Caenorhabditis elegans: one gene and its partners. The protein of the gene in region 3 purifies or fractionates together with the protein of the main gene of each other region. This does not show direct contact. Each region holds a gene or a part of one and is shown on either strand. Other genes may lie near its edges.

Region 1 (5,058 bases), on a different chromosome or scaffold from region 3:
TCCTGAGAATACACGAATAGATTTGCTTTTTATTCAACTAATAATAATTAGTTTGAGCCTTAATTTGTATTCGCAAAAAATTTTTTGAAATAGCTTCAGAATTGTAAAAATTATTTTCTATAAACTTTTGAAATGGAGAGCTTTAACAGAGGAAAACATTGACTGACTATTGATGTTGAACCGATTCGTCTCCGTCCCTTCTTTTCTGTTCTATTTGTATTTCATTTGTCGTTGAATCGTTAATCTGAATGGTCAACACTACAGGCTCTTTCTCTGGGTTCATAAGCTTCAGAAAACAATTGTTACAATGAGAAATGATGTGGTGTACTGTCCAAGGAGAATAAAGATCAGATACAAAAATTTTCAAAATTTAATCTACGTTTCAAATTTTGGTTCATTTCTCTGTTTGAATTTCCTTTGCCCTGTCTGATTGGTCATGGGGCTCTAATTTTTGGATGAAATATGAACAGGGGATATTCTAAAATTGAAAATTCGTGTTTTTCAGAATTGCGTTTTTCATTAAGTTTTATAAACCCACAAATCAATTTCAATATTTTTATTTATTTACAAAAGTATAGTTGAAAAACATAAAAACCTGACACGAAATATTAAAATCCAGAAAATTAAAATTATATCAAAGCACGAGAAATTTCATCAATGTTTTGGGTTCTCGTCCATCAAAACTTTGATGTTCTGAAGAGTTGCGTTGATAACATCACTGGCCTGTAACAATGGTTTAGGTTTTTTTTTGGAAACTATTTAATTTTACTTACCGAATTATTTCCTCCAATATCAGCAGTGTGAATTCTTTGTTCAACAAGAGCCTTCCACAATGCATCGGAAATAATATTAGCGTGATAATGGCATCCCAAATATCTCAACATATCAACAGATGCTCGAATGAACGCAGTTGGATTGGCAATATCTTTTCCAGCAAGAGAAGTTCCAGTATTACGAGTTCCTGTTTCAAAAACAGCATATTTATCTCCAAGATTCATTCCAGACACTAATCCAGGTCCACCGACAAGGCCACATGCAATGTTCGAAATGATATTTCCATAAAGATTTGGCATAACCATTACATCGAACTGTTGAGGTTTAGAGACAAGTTGCATTGAGGCATTATCCACAATCATTGCTTCAAATTTGATATCCTTATAATCTTCTGACATGTCCCGAACAACCTGAAATATCATTTAATATTCATTATTTTAGGCCTTAAATTGAAACGTTAAAAACACACCTTTAGGAAAAGTCCATCTCCAAGTTTCTGAATATTAGCTTTATGAACAGCTGTAACCTTCTTTCTTCCATTTGCTTTTGCATATTCAAATGCCATTCTTGAGATTCTCTCAATTTTCTCACGGGTGACGATCTCAAAGTATTTATTTAACTGAAAATACAGGAAAGTAGGAATTTGAACTCACTTTAATGCTTTCTACGATTCCTGGAACTGCTTCATGTTCTAATCCAGAGTATTCTCCTTCCGTATTTTCACGTATAAGAACAATATCAATTCCCTTAAAAATAAGAAGTTTTAACAATTGAATACAATTTTTTTAAACTCTCCAACTGAAACAAATTGGTAAGTTTACTTACAGAATGTCTGGTAGGTACTGTTGGAATTGTGACACAGTGAAGAATATTGGCATAGAGATCCAATTTAGTTCTGAGTTCAACGTTACGAGAGTTGAATTGTGGATCGTCGTGTTTTGTTTCAATGTTTCCCTGAAATTATTTTATATACATTAGTTGTAATATTTATATTTTGACATTAAACTAATGCAAATTTTTAATTCAATTCAAAAAAACAGAGGTACTTTTTTTTACAATTGAACAAGCAGGTATTTCACTAATTTTATTTAATTCATTACCTTTATAGCAACACCATTTCTTTCAATTGCCAGCATAGCAGCATCCATGTCTCCATCCAAAAGCGACGATGAGACTTGCACTTCTTCAAAGTTGACTGGAGCCTAAAATTAACATCTGTCTCTTTTTTTTGCTTCACCTTATCCATTTTGGTAGTTCTCAACATGTGAAAAAGGATTACGATTAACTTGTATTCTACCAACTTTTTAAAAAAATCAAAAAGAGTCGAGATACGAGCAATCAAAGTTGAGCAATAAAATCCAAAACTAATAGAAGAAAAACGATACTAAAAAAGCTTATGAGCAGTGAAGAATATTGAAATTAAATATTGTGTGTTTTAAACCCAAACACGGTTACGGTATATTGTAAATCCAGTTTAACGTGACTTTAAAATGATAACTTGAATATGGTTTTTAGAACTTTCACATTCTTGAAGAAGCAAGCTTAAATTCAAATGTGGGTACTTGTGTATGATACCCCCGCCATTAAACATTAATTTTTTACCTTATAAAATAAAAATGTGTGGAATTTTAGGCTTAGGAAAACAGCACTCCGAAGCCTAATAAGGAAAATGGGTATCACGTTTAATTTAAACAAATAAATTAATGGAAATTTGATTAATTTTTACAATGGCGGGGGTATAATACACAAGTACCCAAATGTGCATAGTAGACTTTATATTTTCAAGCATGGGAACCTACATGACAAAACGAGAAAATATTTCTGATATGGGCAATCATCTCGGGGCCAATTCCATCTCCAGGAAGGGCACAAACTGTATGTCGACCACCATATTTTGCTAGTGGGAGCTGAAAAAGTGATTATATTATGGTTTTTGGAAGAATTGCATTTTGCTACATTTTATTTTATAATTTTAATTTTCTGATAAGATAACTCTTACTCTGTGACCTGGAATTTGATGGGTACGGATTGCAGAGGCAGCTCCACGAACCGCTTGAATCGGAAGTTTTGAGAACATTCTTAAATTTTTGTTCTTTAGTTATAAAAGCTTCGTTATTGATTCATTGTCAGTTAGGAATTCGATTAGGAAGTTAAGAAGAACTTAAAATATCTCAAATTCGTAAATTTTTTTGCTAGAGACTGTCTAGTATTTCAAAATTTGAGACAATATGTATGTAGCTATAGAATATTTAATTTGAGAAAAAAGGTATCGATTAAATGTAGCATGGGATTCTCCAATGCTCAGGGTCCCGGGAACAAAAAGACGGGCGTTTTCATGAACATCTGCGTCTCTACATCTCTCTTATCTCTAACGTGGTAAACAACTTGGCAGGCACACACACATTTGTTCGGCTTATCAAGAAAGAAAAGAAAAGTTTGGCAGAGAAAATTGAAAAAGATAGGGAAGTGCGGCTCAATTCAGGTGCAAGAACACCCTGACACGTGTTGAATGTGGTCAAAATTTCAGAGTTTTGACTGAAAATTGATGAGACATAAATGGGGAGTTGTAATAAAAAATATTAGACGAATTGAAAGTTTTGTCACTAGTGGAAAAAAAACGATATGACTTCAGTGTGTGAGAAGATAGAAATTTCTTTATTTGGAAACGAAGAGTTTTAAATCATACTCCGGTGCGGGAAATGTTTCGCTAGGTGCTAAATTTTTCGGGATTAATCCTAGTTTTCTCTGGCCACTTCAAAATTTGAAACTTCATAGACTTAATTTTCTACATGAAATGAATTCTCCTGTATAACTTGGCACCTGTAATGACAACAATTACTGAGATCGTGGCGAGACCCACTCGAAACATTGGCAGTGCCTTTAAACTGACATGTCAAAACTTCGCGAAATCACGATATTTCTATACTTCCGATTTTATTTTAAAAAACTTATACAGTTCTTCTCAAGTTTTAAGATTGCTTGACACTTTTAAACTTTTTTTTAAATAAAAATAATATTATTGGAAATGTTCGTTTGCAATTTTTATAGTGAACTACGGTATGCAATCAAAGTACGCAAACACATCGACGCACTTCTCACAGACTGAGATTCGAGGAATTATTTTTTTTTATTTTCTCATCTGTTTTCAATCGGAAAATCGTTGCTCAAGATGACAATTAATCCGACTGATTACGTCTGTAAGTTATTTTATAAAATAATCTAAAAATTTTAAACACCTAATTTTCAGATGAAGAGCCCCCACTCACGCCTGATGGAAGAGTTCAATTTTTGGGGCCCGAAACTGTCAAGTACATTTCTCCACGAAGAGTGGAGGTTATGCGGCAACATATCAGACCAGAGTGAGTTGAAGAAAGAAAATTCATTGGAATAAATTCACAATTTACAGGATTTCTCAATATTCTCAACAACAACCGCCACCATATTATTCATCTCAAGTCTATCCATCAGTTCCATCTGCTCCACCAATTCAACCACAGCCTCAAATGGTTCCAGTTTCAATGCCAATGGTTCAACAGCAGTACATGATGCCCCAAATGGCTCAAATGATGCCTCAGCAAATTGTTATGCAGCAACCGATCATGACAACTGCAGGACCACAGATGATGATGACTCAGATGGCTCAAATGGCCAATCCAGTGCAGCTTGTCTCACCTCAACCGCCTGTCCAAGCCCCACCGCAACAGCAGGCGTCGCCAGGTATATTCGATAAGTAATATTAAAAATTATAAAAAAATTATACAAGATATATATATATGTTTCGGCGAAACTTCATTTTTATAAAATACTCGATACTCCTTGTTTTTTATTGAAATCCAGTCTCAGACATCGAGAAAAAAAGCGCTCGAACACAAAATTAGAACTCAAAAAACCGGATGTCCAATTTGTGAGACCTAGTCTAGACAAATTTATTTTTATTCATAATTTCAAGTTGCCATTCACCTTTTTTTAATCATCAAAAAGTAGAAATTTCCACTTCTTCTTTTATTTATCTTAAAATTTCAGCTATAACTCTGTGCGTTAACCAGTCTCCACAAATTGGTGGATCTCCCGGAGGAGGTGTGGGTGCACTCGTCTGTCCGAAATGTCGAAAAGGAATCATCATGCGAAAACAAGATCGATTGAGAAAGGTTAGTCATTTTTGCTGATTATTTTTAAAGTGCAACGAGATGATTTTGATAGTCAGAAACGAAAATATTATAAATAGCTGATTTACATGATAACTTCGAAGGTCGAAACTATCACACTTTAAAAATTTTATTTTTA
Region 2 (4,746 bases), on a different chromosome or scaffold from region 3:
CTTTCTTTCTTTTCTTCGGGGTCATTTTTTAAGCACAGATTGTGAAGACCAAGGTCTCCAAAATCTCGATTTAAATGAACCATTGGAAATTAAGACACAAAATTTTGAATTAATTTGCAATTGCTGCAAGAAAATTCTAAAACCTATTTAGGAACAGCCGTCCTTGTTATTTCAAAACAGATTTGTGAGAAACGTGTATACGTACTATTGCTGGAAGTGTTATCGTTGGTGACGCTATGACTGGAATTGGAATTTTGTCCAATTTGTGATGAATTCTGAGTTGTTGCAGCGGCAGTTGCTGTTGCGTTATTCCCGTTCATCGTTGACCCGTCTGTACTTTTCTTTTGCTGATGGTTCTGAAACTAGGGAAAAATATGTCGAATTTCACTATCTTTATCAACACACCTTTTTATTGGCCATACTTTTCATCAAAATACCAGTTAACCGAGACTTCTTACGCTTTTCTTGAAGAGTTAAAGCTGTGACGTCTGAACGGATAAATTTTAAAAAAATAAGGAAGGAATGAAATAAATAAGATATCAAACATCGCATACTTACGATGAATTACAAAAAGTTAATAGTAATAAGAATCATGTACAGATTTTATATTTACACGTGAAAATTGTGGGCTGCCCGAGTAAACAACAGGTGAATGAATACATATAAATTAAAAAAATAAACAGCAATTTCAAAAAAAAATTCAGTGGTTCTCGACAACCTTCCATTTGCAAAATTCGAACTTTAATCCATTTTCTTCGAAAATTTCTGAATTTTCCGATGACACCTCGGCATTTTGAACTTTCTCCATTTTACTGAAATCGAGTGACTTGAGATGAACATCGGCTTCGAAGCTGAAATTACGACAGAGTAAAAAAACTGTGCAAGCACCCTACTTTTTGAAAATACGTGTCAAGTGAATTTCATCAACCAAGTTTTCTCGCAACGCAAGATCATAGATTTCAGCTCCACCGATATTCCAGATTGTTTCGATCGAATCCACAAATGGTGGCTCCGAAAGTAGTTTCATAGCCGCTTCGAGCGAGTTTCTGAATGTAACAACAACAGGTTAAATATTATTTCATGACAGCTTACACAACAATGTAGTCATCGGACTTTTGCGCAGGAAGTTGTCGGCTCAAAACAATGTTTAGCCGTCCTGCCAACGGGCGGCGAGTTACTGGAATGCTTTCCCAGCATTTTCGTCCCATGAGAACTGCATTTCTCTACAAAAGTTATGTTACAAGTTTAGTTAGAAATCTCGAACAACCTTCGACTGATCAGAAACATTTTTGGTAACAGACGCGAAATACTGCATGTCTTTCTTGATTCGCCATGGCAACACGCCATTTTTGCCAATTCCTCCTTCGGCATCCATAGCCACTATTAAGTTCATTTTTCTCATTTTTAATGCCTAGAAATAGAAAATAACTCGATTGAGATACCAGAGAAAATTTTAAAAACGGGTAATGAGAACTTTGCACAGCAAAACGAAGCACATTTGAAATACGCTTCCATTCGACTTCGTATCGACTGAAATCTTCAAACAATACAGATTTCGAAGATAAAGATAATGAATCGTGGGAAAATCAATAAAAATAGATAATCAAAAAAAAATGAGGGTGAAAATGAATCGAGAAGAAGTGAGAGAACCTCAGATTTCTTCAAATTATCATTAGAGCGCGATTACTGGTTCCCACTTTCGAAGAATTTTCACCGCTTTTTTTGAACTTTTATGCCATTTTCTTTCCTTTGTTCACTTTAAAATGTTTTAAACTTCACAACTAAATATAATAAATTATAATAAAACTACAAGCCCATTCCTATGTCTCACATCTTCGTTCTGAATGTCCTAATATATAACTTCATATTCTTTACAGTGGTTTTTAAAGTAATTAAATTTTTTAAGAGCACACAAAATGGCTGAAAATGGCAATTTTGCTGTTCCAGCACCGCCAAGACAGTTTGGATCACTGGCGAATGCAGAAAGCGTGAATGCAATCTTGGTATGTTTTTTTTCATGAATTCTTTGACTATGTTATTTTTTCTGAATTTTAATTTAAAATTTCAGAATGCACAACAGCAAAACCATGGACCCACAGTGTCTTTGGAACGAATGGAAGTATCAAATCAAGCAGATTCACGCCACGATGCTGAAATGTTTGCAGAATTTGATAGAAGACGGAGAGCAAGAACTCTCACATTGCCAACAGATGATGTTCAGGTACAGTTTTGATACATATGAATAAAATTTTTTTAATAACTACCCACTTGAAGATATATTTTAAAGGTAAAACTGAAACTTCGTGCTCTAAACCAACCAATTTGTTTGTTCGGAGAAGATGCATTGGATAGAAGAGAAAGACTTAGAGCTCTACTTTCAACAATGTCTGAAGATGAAATTGCAGCCGTTTTGCATACTGATGAAGTAAGTTTTTCAATGTTTGAAAAATTATTTAAAAATTTGAAGGTGAATGCTGATAAAGCAGACGAAGAAACCGTTACTTGGTATCATCGTGGTCCGATTGAACTTCGGATGGCACGCGTTTCAATCGCTGATTTTTCTCTAAGAAAAGCTAAATTAAGACTTGACAAAGCTCGAGAAGAAGCTGCTCGCCCTGCTCACGAAAAAGCTTTGGCTCGTCAAGAAGCTCACAAATGGGTTCAACAAATCAATCTTCATGCTTCTCAAGTTGCAGACACACGCCCTGTGGCTTTTTGTGAATTTTCAGCAGATTCTGAACATATTGGTTTGTTTTTTCTAAGTAGAACTTTCCAACTAATCAAAAACTTCAGTTACCGCTGGCTGGTCCGGATCAGTGGCAGTTTGGAAGCGAGAACAATGTGCTCAAGAAATTAAATTTATTGGACATTCATCTCAAGCAGGGTGTGCACGTTTTCATCCCGGTGCATTTACTCAGAATGATTATTCTTCTTTGAATGTGGTTTCGTGTTCGTATGATGGTAAATATAACTGATTTTTGCTCAATTTTCTCAAAATTCGTGATTTCAGGAACCGTTCTTCTATGGTCGCTAAGCCAGGAATCACCAATCGGAGAACTAGAACAACATCCACAAAGAGTATCTAAAGTTGCGTTCCATCCAAATGGTCATCATCTCGCTACTGCATGGTAAGTTTTTTAATGGTAATAACACGACGATTTTAGAGCCGAAAATACGGTAATCGGTCTCGACTCGACAATTTGTCGTTAAATAAAAGCGTGTTCGCTTTTTTAAAGAGTACTGTAGCTTCAAACTTTCATTGTTGCCGAATTCGGCGCTGAGTTTTCAGCGCTTTTTCGTCTAAAAAATTAGATTATCGTATTGAAATAAACAGGTTTTACAGTTGCCAAAAATATTCGATTATTTCTGATGCAGTATTCAGAAAACCTTTGAATTTCAGTCTCTACAAGATAATCATTTTCAGCTTCGATTCCACGTGGAGAATGTACGACTTGACAACGAAAAAAGAGTTACTTTATCAAGAAGGACACTCAAAATCAGTAGCTGATGTGGCATTCCATCCAGATGGATCAGTCGCTCTAACTGGCGGACACGATTGTTATGGAAGAGTTTGGGATATGCGAACTGGAAGATGTATTATGTTCCTTGATGGTCACACAAAAGAAATTCACAGTGTTGAATGGATGCCAAATGGGTTAGTTCACTGGGACATTATAACTTTTTGTTTTAAAACCATTTACTTGAAATATTGATGTTATCAACGTATTTTCAGTTATGAAATGATTACTGGAAGCTCGGACAATTCAATGAAAGTTTGGGATCTTCGGATGAGACGAAATACATACACTATGCCAGCTCATACATCAGTTGTTACCCGGGTGCGTGCTGATGCTGCTGGCCAATATCTTGTTTCTGCCAGCTTCGATTGTACTCTTAAAATGTGGTCGACCACTGGATGGCAACCACTAAGACAACTTCAGGTATATCAATTGAGCTTAACTTTTTGAGTTAAAAAAAATGTTTTCAGGGTCACGATACTAGAATCCTGTGCGTAGACATCAGTCCAGATGGACAATGGATGTGCTCATCGGCATTTGATCGTACATTTAAATTATGGGCTCAATCTGATTATTGATTTGTTTTAGTAAATGTTCTACTTCAATTGTTGGTTTCATATTATATTCCTTTTTTCAAGTTGTTCTCTTCTCCCGAAAATGATCTGTGAATTAGAATAAAACTTATTTATTTTTATTGGTGAGGTGAAAAATTATCAAATGACTCATTCTTTAGTATTCCGACCGGTGTACTGGGCCCCCATTTGAACTTCTTCATTTGTGGGAACAGAACGATATGCTCCAGTAAATATACAACAGCAACAACATATAAAAATGCATGTTGTAATTGAATAAAAGATGATGAAGAATGCACAGAAAATAAATGATGTCCAATATAATAATTGATCACATTCATTATTACGGGAAAATGTTGAAATCACCAGTACACATCCAAGTATGGTTCTGGAAAATTATCAAGTTGAAGATGGAAAATAAGCACTTTTGTTAAATTTCTGCATAATTAGTGTTTATTTTAATATTACTAATTTTCCCATGATATGTTTCTGTTTGTAATACAATTTCAAAGAGAACTAAATATGAAAAAATAGGAGTTTGAAGCTACAGTACTCCTGAAGGCGAATGCACCCTTGCCTATAAAAAAATCGATCGTGTCGAGACCGGCATGGATCTGAATGTTTTATAGACAAATATGCGAAATTTGAGACTTGTG
Region 3 (4,037 bases):
AGTAGGCAGGTGAAGGTGGCATATCAGACAGATATTTTTGTGTCTACACGGAGGAGTGACTCTGCCAAAGTGATTAACACATTTAGATTTGTTTTAAATAAAAATTCAAATACGATATACATAAGTTCATAATCTTTTTAAAAAAATGTATTCAACTTTCAAATTAATCCTTCAATAATTTCAGCATACTTCAAGCTAACTGAAAATGGCCGTGAAAAATGTCGTAGACAAAGGAATATCATAATTGGCTTTCTATCAAAAATGTGTCATTCACCAGGTGGAGGCGGAGAGCATCGTGTTGGAGAACTTCTGATGAGTATGAATTATCTCAGGGTTTGTTTATTTTTGTATAACAGCTATCCAGCAAACAAAGGATATTACAGGAATCTGCTCAAAAACTCACAACTTCTTACGTGATGCTCACAGTTTTCAATGTTCTCAACTGTGATTCAATGCTTCATGAAATGCTTAATTTTCAATACTAGCTAAATATTTGTGTGAAAGTGTTTTATTATGTTCAAATTTTATTGTTTTATCATGATCGTCAATAAAACAAGGGCAAATACTGTTTTACTACTTGATCTCTTACTACGTGATCTCTTTTACTATGATTTGCATACATAGATCTTTTACGACGTTTTACTCTTTTGCTACAACCGTATTTTTTACTCCGTTATCCCATTTCGATCTTTTGCTACAGTTTGTATCTTTTGTTACGGTGGACATTTTTACTACAATGACAAGGATTGTATCCTTTACTAATGATTTTTTACTACATACGAATTAAAAATTAATTTTCATAGTACATATATTCTAGATATGAACAAATGTATGAATATTTTTTAAAAATGCATAGGTCACAGTTTTAGTTTGTTCTCAAGTAGTTCTAGTAAATTTCAGTTGTTTTCTTTTGATGGGATACTGAGTTGGAGTTCATGGAGAGATACTGTTGGGTTACTGTAGTTGTACTGTGGTAGTAAGAGTTTTCAGATTATATCGTTTTTTTTTTTAATTTCTAGAAATTGATTCATTATGAAATGATCAGAACTTATTATGAACATTTGGCTCTAGATATTAAAAAAACACGATATGCTCTTTTGTTCTCTTGTAATCATGAATAAGGATCGCTAGATACCCACTCCTGTTTGTGCGCGATTATAAATAATCCCCGAAAGGACATTTCCAAAATTACCGTTTCCCTGGACATCGTTTTCCAAAAATACAAGCTCTAAACGAGAGCCCCTTGATGTTTTTTATTTGGTTCGAAATTTTATATGTCTGCATAATCTGAAAAATTAATTGGAAATTCCGAAGTTATGAAATACCGCGTGCAATTGTTCAAAATCTTTTATTCAAACTTCCGCCTTTTTGCCCGCGGCGGCCGCGTTTGTGAAAGTTCTTCCATTCGCTACGTACACCTCGTGGACAAAGTTAATTTCACTTTTTTAGAAGCATTTTCTGCAATTCTGTTCAATTTTTGTTTAATTCGTTACTCTAATCGTTTTGTTGTATCAATGTCAGCAAAAAGATTTTTATTCCAGTATTACGTAGATTTGTTTGTGTTTAGCCGACAAATTGAGCTTCACTATTGCGTAACCATTGTTTCCTTGAAAATAGAGCATATAAATTTTTTTCAGATAAATGTACAGAAGACTAGCCTCCGGCTTATATCAGGTAATTTAAACAATTTTGTTTACAGTGAAAGTAATTTATTTTTCAGACTTCCCAAAGAAGAATCGCACAAGTTCAGCCGAAATCAGTATTTGTCCCAGAAACAATTGTAACGACACTTCCGAATGGGTTCAGAGTTGCAACAGAAAACACAGGTGGATCTACTGCTACTGTAATTATTTTTCCTAAATTATTTGTTTGTTCAAAGCTATTTTTATTAGATCGGAGTATTTATTGATGCCGGCAGTCGCTACGAGAATGAGAAAAACAATGGAACAGCTCATTTTCTAGAGCATATGGCGTTCAAAGTTAGTTTAATTTAATTTTTAGAAAATTTTGAATTTCATATAAAAATCCGAATTTTTCAGGGAACGCCTCGCCGGACTCGAATGGGATTGGAGCTTGAAGTTGAAAATATTGGAGCTCATCTAAATGCGTACACTTCTAGAGAAAGCACGACGTATTATGCTAAATGTTTTACAGAAAAGCTTGACCAATGTAAGAAATAAAATTATTAATGCAATTTTTAAAATATCTATTCCGAATTGCAGCCGTCGATATTCTTTCGGATATTCTTCTGAACAGCAGTCTTGCCACTAAAGATATCGAAGCAGAACGTGGTGTAATTATTCGAGAAATGGAAGAAGTTGCACAAAACTTTCAAGAAGTTGTATTTGATATTCTTCATGCTGATGTTTTCAAAGGAAATCCTCTTTCCTATACAATTCTTGGTCCAATTGAATTAATTCAAACAATCAATAAGAATGATCTTCAAGGATATATTAATACACATTATCGAAGTGGCAGAATGGTATTAGCAGCAGCCGGAGGTGTCAATCATGATGCGATTGTTAAAATGGCAGAAAAATATTTCGGAGAGCTCAAGCATGGAGATTCTTCAACTGAATTCGTCCCAGCCACTTACAGTCCCTGTGAAGTCAGTTTTTGTTTGAATAAATTCGCTATCAGCAAATATTAAATAGAATTAACAAAATATATTTTTAAATGTTTACATTTCAGGTTCGAGGTGACATTCCAGATCTTCCAATGTTGTACGGAGCGATGGTTGTCGAAGGAGTATCTTGGACCCATGAAGATAATCTTGCCCTTATGGTGGCTAATACGGTACTTTTTTAAAAAATATTTTTATAACTTAGAAGTTGATAGTTCATCATTCCAGCTAATGGGTGAATACGATCGTATGCGTGGATTCGGCGTGAATGCTCCAACTCGCTTGGCTGAAAAATTGTCACAAGACGCAGGAATTGAGGTTTTCCAATCATTTAACACGTGCTATAAAGTAATGAATTCCTGGGAAAAAAAACTCTTTTTACATATTTCTGTAATTCAGGAGACAGGATTAGTTGGAACTTATTTCGTAGCTGCTCCGGAATCCATCGACAATCTTATTGATTCAGTTCTTCAACAATGGGTTTGGCTTGCGAACAGTGAGTTTTTATTTAACATAGTCCTGAGTCAACATCTTTCATTTCCAGACATTGATGAAGCAGCGGTTGATCGTGCCAAGCGCTCCCTGCATACGAATCTACTCCTAATGCTCGATGGCTCAACTCCAGTCTGTGAAGATATTGGTCGACAACTCCTTTGCTACGGTCGTCGGATACCAACTCCAGAATTACATGCCCGAATCGAATCAATCACAGTCCAGCAGCTCCGAGATGTTTGCCGACGTGTATTCCTTGAAGGACAGGTCTCTGCAGCAGTTGTTGGAAAGACGCAGTATTGGCCAGTTAATGAAGAAATTCATGGAAGATTGATCAGAATGCAATAGATACATGTGTTATAGTTTATTTGTTAGACAAACGTTTTGTTTTTGGTAAAAATAAATTCTAAAAACCCGTCAAAAAGTGAAAAATACAGCATCAGTCAATTGTAAATTGGAAGTGGGTGGGCTTCAGTGTTGAGAACCCATCGATCGAGTGGAAGGATTTCTTGATCATCAGCCATTAGAAGGTAAAGGTATTTGAGGGTCTCAGCAAGGAAGAATGATTCCATTTTGTCACGTCTGAATTTGAATGATTAAAAATTAAACAAAATGCTGACAAACCTTTTGATCTTCTTTCTGAGCACATTGTCAATTGAGCTGTATCCACCAGTTTCCACTTTTGCATACTTTTCAATCGACTCAAAAGCTTTCCATCCCCACTCTTGATATTTCTTATCTTTAGTAACACGATACAAATAGAACCACGCTTCAATTGCTTCTGGACGGAGAAGTGAATGAGCATCAAGATTCTTCACATAAGTATCCGCTTGTGTCATATCAGAACTATCCTCCATATTGAAATGTATTATTTCTGGTCCAAGTCCTGTTGGATTTTCATACATTTTATGACAAACATTTC
Region 4 (4,591 bases), on a different chromosome or scaffold from region 3:
AAAAACAGATGAACGCACACCATGCACTCAACAAGTATATTAGTCGTGTCGAAACTGGGGTCTGTATTCTTTGGCATAATTTGCTACGGGTAATATGACATATTTTATTCAGAAACTATTTTTTATGTTTCAATTGTTCCAGGTAATTAGTCTCGGAGCCACAATTCTTTCCCTTTTCACTCTTCGAAAACATCCATACGTTTGCTTTATTCCAATTCCATTTATCAGTAAGATTCTGAAAATCTTTTTTTTTTCATAATTTCAACTTTTCAGTAATGATGTTCATCATTCCTTTCGTTTTTGGTGCTCCTACGTCAATGGTTCTCGCACTGGCAATGTACGCTTCGAAAAATGTACGTTAAAAAAAATTTACTTTTCAAGAAGTTAAAAAGTTGAGGGAAAAAACATTTTTCAGGCTGTGAGCACTTGGTATTGTGCAATAATGGGTATCATTCAAACTCTTCTGATTTTCGTGACTTCTGTAACCCGAATCCACGCGACGCTGTAACTTATTGTGATTATGTAGAAACGATTGCTTTAATAAATTTTTTTAGTTTCTTTGTCTATAAAATCTCGAAAAGAAAAAACCATATAAAAATTTCCAGAAATGAACAGAAATAATGGGAATCGAAAGATGGTGTAGAAGAAGAAAAAACAAAAGTCTCGGGGTGCTTATAGTTATGCGAGTGAATCAGAGAAGACTTATCGAACGATTTTGTGGTTCATGCCAATGGGATAGGAGTAAAGCGATTAAGGACGCGGGATGGACTGGTGGGTAATCTATACAAAATTGAAAACCGAAAAAAGGTGTCATTAAATCATTACTAATCATCAAAGTGTTTTAGTGTCTAACAGCCTGTTTACAATAAGAAAAAGAAAATAGAAGGGGAAGTAGCATTGAGCATTTATTCGAGGTCTTTAACACGGGCACAAACATCAGCGGTGAATGAAGAGCAAGTTCCAGTACCTCCGAGATCTCCAGTTTTGGCACGTCCATCAGCAATTGCATCAAATACAGCCTTTTCGATACGAGCAGCGTGTTGTGGAAGGTTCTGAAAATGAGCTTGTAAAATTTTTAGACCGACTACGATATAAAAACCATGTAACGGAGCATCATGACGGCAGATAGAAGAAGAGCAGTTGGGTTTGCTTTGTCTTGTCCAGCAATATCTGGGGCGGTTCCGTGAACGGATCTGTAAAGAAATTTGGTAAGTTTTGTTTGAATAAAAAATTGTATTTCGCTATAAAATAAAGTTTTCAGGTTAAAAAAAATTAGATTTAAATTTTATTGAGAAGATTAAAAAAATGCAAGATTTCATCAAATTCAACTTTTTTAGTATTTCCTACTTTTATAATTTCGTATTTTTTGCTTTCGATTTCACTTCTATGTGTTTATCTGAAATTTCAGAAATTAACAAAAATTCTAAACTGAGTTCATTTCATTTGTCAAAGCATTTTTTAACAAAAAACATACTCAAATACGGCGGCTCCTTTTCCAATATTTCCAGATGGGGTGACTCCGAGTCCTCCAACAAGACCAGCGCACAAATCGGAAAGAATGTCTCCATACAAGTTTGGCATGACAAGAACATCGTATTGTGATGGATCCTGGACCATGTTCAAGCAAACTGTGTCGAGGTAGGCTTCCTAAAATTATAGATTATAAATTTTAACAGGAAGTGGTTTTTCTTTAAATTCTATTATTCATACCTTGAACTTGATATCTGGGTAGAGGGCAGCTTGCTCGCGGCAGATGGACAAAAACAAACCGTCGGATTGTCTCATAATGTTGGCTGTAAAAATAATTGTTTTAATTTTCTTTTTCAATTTATATTACCTTTGTGGACAGCAGTCACAACTTTGCGCCCATTTTGACGAGCATACTCGAAGGCGAAGCTGGCGACATTGCGAGAAGCAGTTTCAGTAATAAGCTTGATAGATTGAACAACTCCCGGGACAATCTGAAACAATTATTAGGTGATACATTTATTATTTAATTTAATATACCTCGTGCTCAATTCCAGAGTACTCTCCCTCTGTGTTCTCACGAATTGTGACAACATCGACATTGTCGTACAATGTCTTGTGTCCTTCAAGGGAACGGCATGGACGAACGTTGGCGTAAAGGCTAAACTCTTTTCTCACAGCCAAATTCAAAGATCTGTGTCCTTTTCCAATTGGGGTCTCGAGTGGTCCTTTAAGTCCAACTTTGTTCTGAAAAACGTAACAATCAGAAATAAATGTACAATTTTCAAACTAACCGCGTGCATAAGCTCGATGCAACGACTTGGAATACGGAAGACTCCATCGCGTCCCTTAACTGGAGTCACATCAACTGGGTCCCAAGCAATCGGGGCATCGGCGGCCTAGAAATAACATGATGTAAGACACACGAAATAATTGAAAATTCACCTCAAAAATCTTCTGTACAGAAGCTGAAATTTCCGGCCCAATTCCGTCTCCTGGAATTAAAGTGACACGGCGAACCTGAACAAAACTGGCTTTTTTATAAAGTTTCGAGGTTTCTTACGTCTCCGGAGCTGTATCTGATGGATTGTCCGACGGTAGACGACGCCTTTTTGATGCACTTGCCAAGCATTCTGAACCCTGGAAACAAAAATATTTGAGATGGAAGGAAAAATTGAGCGAGAAAGAAAATGAAAAAGTATTTACGATGCACATTTTTTGAGACTATCTAGACGATCATATTTTGGAAAATCAAAATTTAACATCAGGAATCATTAATAAAATATGTTAAGCCTTAAATTAAAGAGCCAAGGAAAAGGGCGGTAGCAGGGCAGCCGAGGTGTTCGGTAGAGCGCAATTTATCGATCATTGGAAAGGGCGGCCAGCAAAAGCCAGTTGAAAAATAGAAAAGCAAATGGAGGGTGCGAGACGGGTATACAATAGACACATTGCATATTGTTTTTTTCTGTTTCGTTTCTCTTTTTCTTCCGGATCCTTGCGTGCGTTTGTCGCAGCGTCCCGCTGCGTGGAAACAGCTAGCCAGATATAATCTCTTTGCACCTGTAGCTACGGCATCCTGCGACGTGGATTTCAGTTTTTATTGATTATTTAAAATTATACCACGTATGTAAACTAAATAATGGAACACATAATTTTTGGTGAAAAACTGTACTAAATGTACTATCATCTGACTTTCTCTTTCACTTGATATCGTACAATTAATGCGTAATTTGAGAGATAAGACATTAATGCATTATAAAGAAGATTTTCGAAGCTTCTTCCGTTTTAATCAAGTTTTAAAAAATAAATTAGTGAAAAACTATAACATTCTTCTAGGACACTTTTTTAAAGTATTTATTTAATCTTGTTTAAACGTTGACGTTAAAGGTGCACCCATGGGTACGTTTTCCTATTTTCTTTTAATTTTTAATGAGGAATTCATCTGAAAATGTGACATAATTTGTCAAATTTTGGATATATTTTTTCGCAAAAAAACTTGATTATTATTAAGTTCGCTGAAACTCTGAAAATAGATTAAACCGATAGTTTTACATTCTCTGAAACGTTAAAATTTTTATTTAGTGAAATTGTTTCGTTGTTAAGCGTTTTAAAGCTGTTTATGTGTCAAATGTAAGAAAATTTAGTAAAAGGTGTTGTTTTATCAATTTACTTGCTGAAAAAAGGCAAAATCATTACAATAATACAGAAAAATAAAAAAAAACAGGATTGAACAAGTTTAACGTTTCGAAGGCTGATTCTGTTCCGCCCGTAAATCCACACGCGCGTTAGGACACATTTTATGGTTTCGAGATAGGCGCCTTCAAAATTACTGTACTTGTGTCTGCGTCTCTGATTTATACACGATGTTTTTAAGTGTCTCGTGGATTTTGACAACTTCGAAAAATACATTTTATTTTTATTTATTTAATTTTCAGTAAAATGGCAATGAAAGAAGGCAGCTCAGTGGAGCAATTTGCAATGAGAAGTCGTGCAGCAAGGACTTCATCGAGTGAAGGTTTCCAAAACGATATGCCCACATACAAGGATGTAGTTTTTATTGAAAGAAAAGTAAAAAACGGCGATACACTCAATAAATTGGCAATAAAATATCAAGTAAATGTGAGTTCTGTCGGTTTCAATAAAATATTTTATTTGCAATATTTTTCAGGTAGCCGAAATAAAACGAGTGAATAATATGGTATCCGAGCAAGATTTTATGGCACTTTCAAAAGTGAAAATTCCAGTTAGCCGAATGAGAATGGCGTTAGGCGTACAATCGGCTTTAAGCCAAGACGAAGAAGACGAAATTCTTATTGGTTAGTTTTTTTTTGCTGAGATAAAGCTTTAATTTCTAAAGATTTACAGATATTGATGACAGAACTGCACTTCTGCGAGAAGATCGAGGCTCACGAGATCCCAGTGTCGAGGATATTTTCCATAAAACTGATACTAACATAGGTGAATAAAAGTTAATAAAAATTATTAAAAAACAAATAGAAAAATTTCAGCTCAAGTTCGAGAAGCTCTTCCAGAAGAAAGTCACGGTGTCACTGGTTTTCATTTTGTAACCGCTCGAGCCCCAACTTCGTCATCTATTTCTGTTTGGATGGTTGTTTTAGGTAGG

The links.
Region 1: the proteins of mppb-1 (region 3) and idhg-2 fractionate together in Caenorhabditis elegans (co-fractionation; one large-scale study listed by BioGRID). This does not show direct contact.
Region 2: the proteins of mppb-1 (region 3) and prp-4 fractionate together in Caenorhabditis elegans (co-fractionation; one large-scale study listed by BioGRID). This does not show direct contact.
Region 4: the proteins of mppb-1 (region 3) and idha-1 fractionate together in Caenorhabditis elegans (co-fractionation; one large-scale study listed by BioGRID). This does not show direct contact.

The regions. Positions count from the first base shown.
Region 1 is NC_003279.8:6,972,555-6,977,612, reverse strand, and holds idhg-2 (Isocitrate dehydrogenase [NAD] subunit, mitochondrial), read right to left. Parts: upstream 3,056-5,058; 5' UTR 2,852-3,055; coding exon 2,774-2,851; intron 2,682-2,773; coding exon 2,574-2,681; intron 1,977-2,573; coding exon 1,875-1,976; intron 1,729-1,874; coding exon 1,600-1,728; intron 1,521-1,599; coding exon 1,428-1,520; intron 1,376-1,427; coding exon 1,244-1,375; intron 1,185-1,243; coding exon 774-1,184; intron 724-773; coding exon 655-723; 3' UTR 542-654; downstream 1-541. Other genes in the region: C30F12.4 (LITAF domain-containing protein), read left to right, coding at 3,944-3,971, 4,022-4,133, 4,181-4,491, 4,798-4,922.
Region 2 is NC_003279.8:8,732,878-8,737,623, reverse strand, and holds prp-4 (Pre-mRNA processing factor 4 (PRP4)-like domain-containing protein), read left to right. Parts: upstream 1-1,906; 5' UTR 1,907-1,916; coding exon 1,917-2,003; intron 2,004-2,068; coding exon 2,069-2,221; intron 2,222-2,287; coding exon 2,288-2,425; intron 2,426-2,467; coding exon 2,468-2,747; intron 2,748-2,793; coding exon 2,794-2,961; intron 2,962-3,010; coding exon 3,011-3,128; intron 3,129-3,424; coding exon 3,425-3,655; intron 3,656-3,733; coding exon 3,734-3,941; intron 3,942-3,988; coding exon 3,989-4,096; 3' UTR 4,097-4,211; downstream 4,212-4,746. Other genes in the region: gls-1 (Germline survival defective-1), read right to left, coding at 206-356, 406-552; dhfr-1 (Putative dihydrofolate reductase), read right to left, coding at 701-851, 894-1,046, 1,093-1,223, 1,268-1,402; C36B1.6 (putative tumor suppressor protein), read right to left, coding at 4,241-4,478.
Region 3 is NC_003282.8:9,073,036-9,077,072, forward strand, and holds mppb-1 (Mitochondrial-processing peptidase subunit beta), read left to right. Parts: upstream 1-1,637; 5' UTR 1,638-1,641; coding exon 1,642-1,674; intron 1,675-1,720; coding exon 1,721-1,843; intron 1,844-1,892; coding exon 1,893-1,979; intron 1,980-2,039; coding exon 2,040-2,169; intron 2,170-2,222; coding exon 2,223-2,608; intron 2,609-2,691; coding exon 2,692-2,796; intron 2,797-2,851; coding exon 2,852-2,971; intron 2,972-3,022; coding exon 3,023-3,119; intron 3,120-3,167; coding exon 3,168-3,463; 3' UTR 3,464-3,536; downstream 3,537-4,037. Other genes in the region: Nuclear hormone receptor family member nhr-11, read left to right, coding at 185-333, 384-485; mans-4 (alpha-1,2-Mannosidase), read right to left, coding at 3,559-3,697, 3,740-4,037. UniProt on the Caenorhabditis elegans protein: Catalytic subunit of the essential mitochondrial processing protease (MPP), which cleaves the mitochondrial sequence off newly imported precursors proteins. Preferentially, cleaves after an arginine at position P2.
Region 4 is NC_003279.8:8,606,025-8,610,615, forward strand, and holds idha-1 (putative isocitrate dehydrogenase [NAD] subunit alpha, mitochondrial), read right to left. Parts: upstream 2,608-4,591; 5' UTR 2,600-2,607; coding exon 2,531-2,599; intron 2,488-2,530; coding exon 2,413-2,487; intron 2,367-2,412; coding exon 2,262-2,366; intron 2,215-2,261; coding exon 2,008-2,214; intron 1,962-2,007; coding exon 1,838-1,961; intron 1,794-1,837; coding exon 1,711-1,793; intron 1,648-1,710; coding exon 1,475-1,647; intron 1,194-1,474; coding exon 1,100-1,193; intron 1,053-1,099; coding exon 906-1,052; 3' UTR 525-905; downstream 1-524. Other genes in the region: F43G9.13 (Vesicle transport protein), read left to right, coding at 143-227, 274-353, 416-508; lmd-1 (LysM domain-containing protein), read left to right, coding at 3,907-4,086, 4,136-4,283, 4,333-4,425, 4,476-4,586.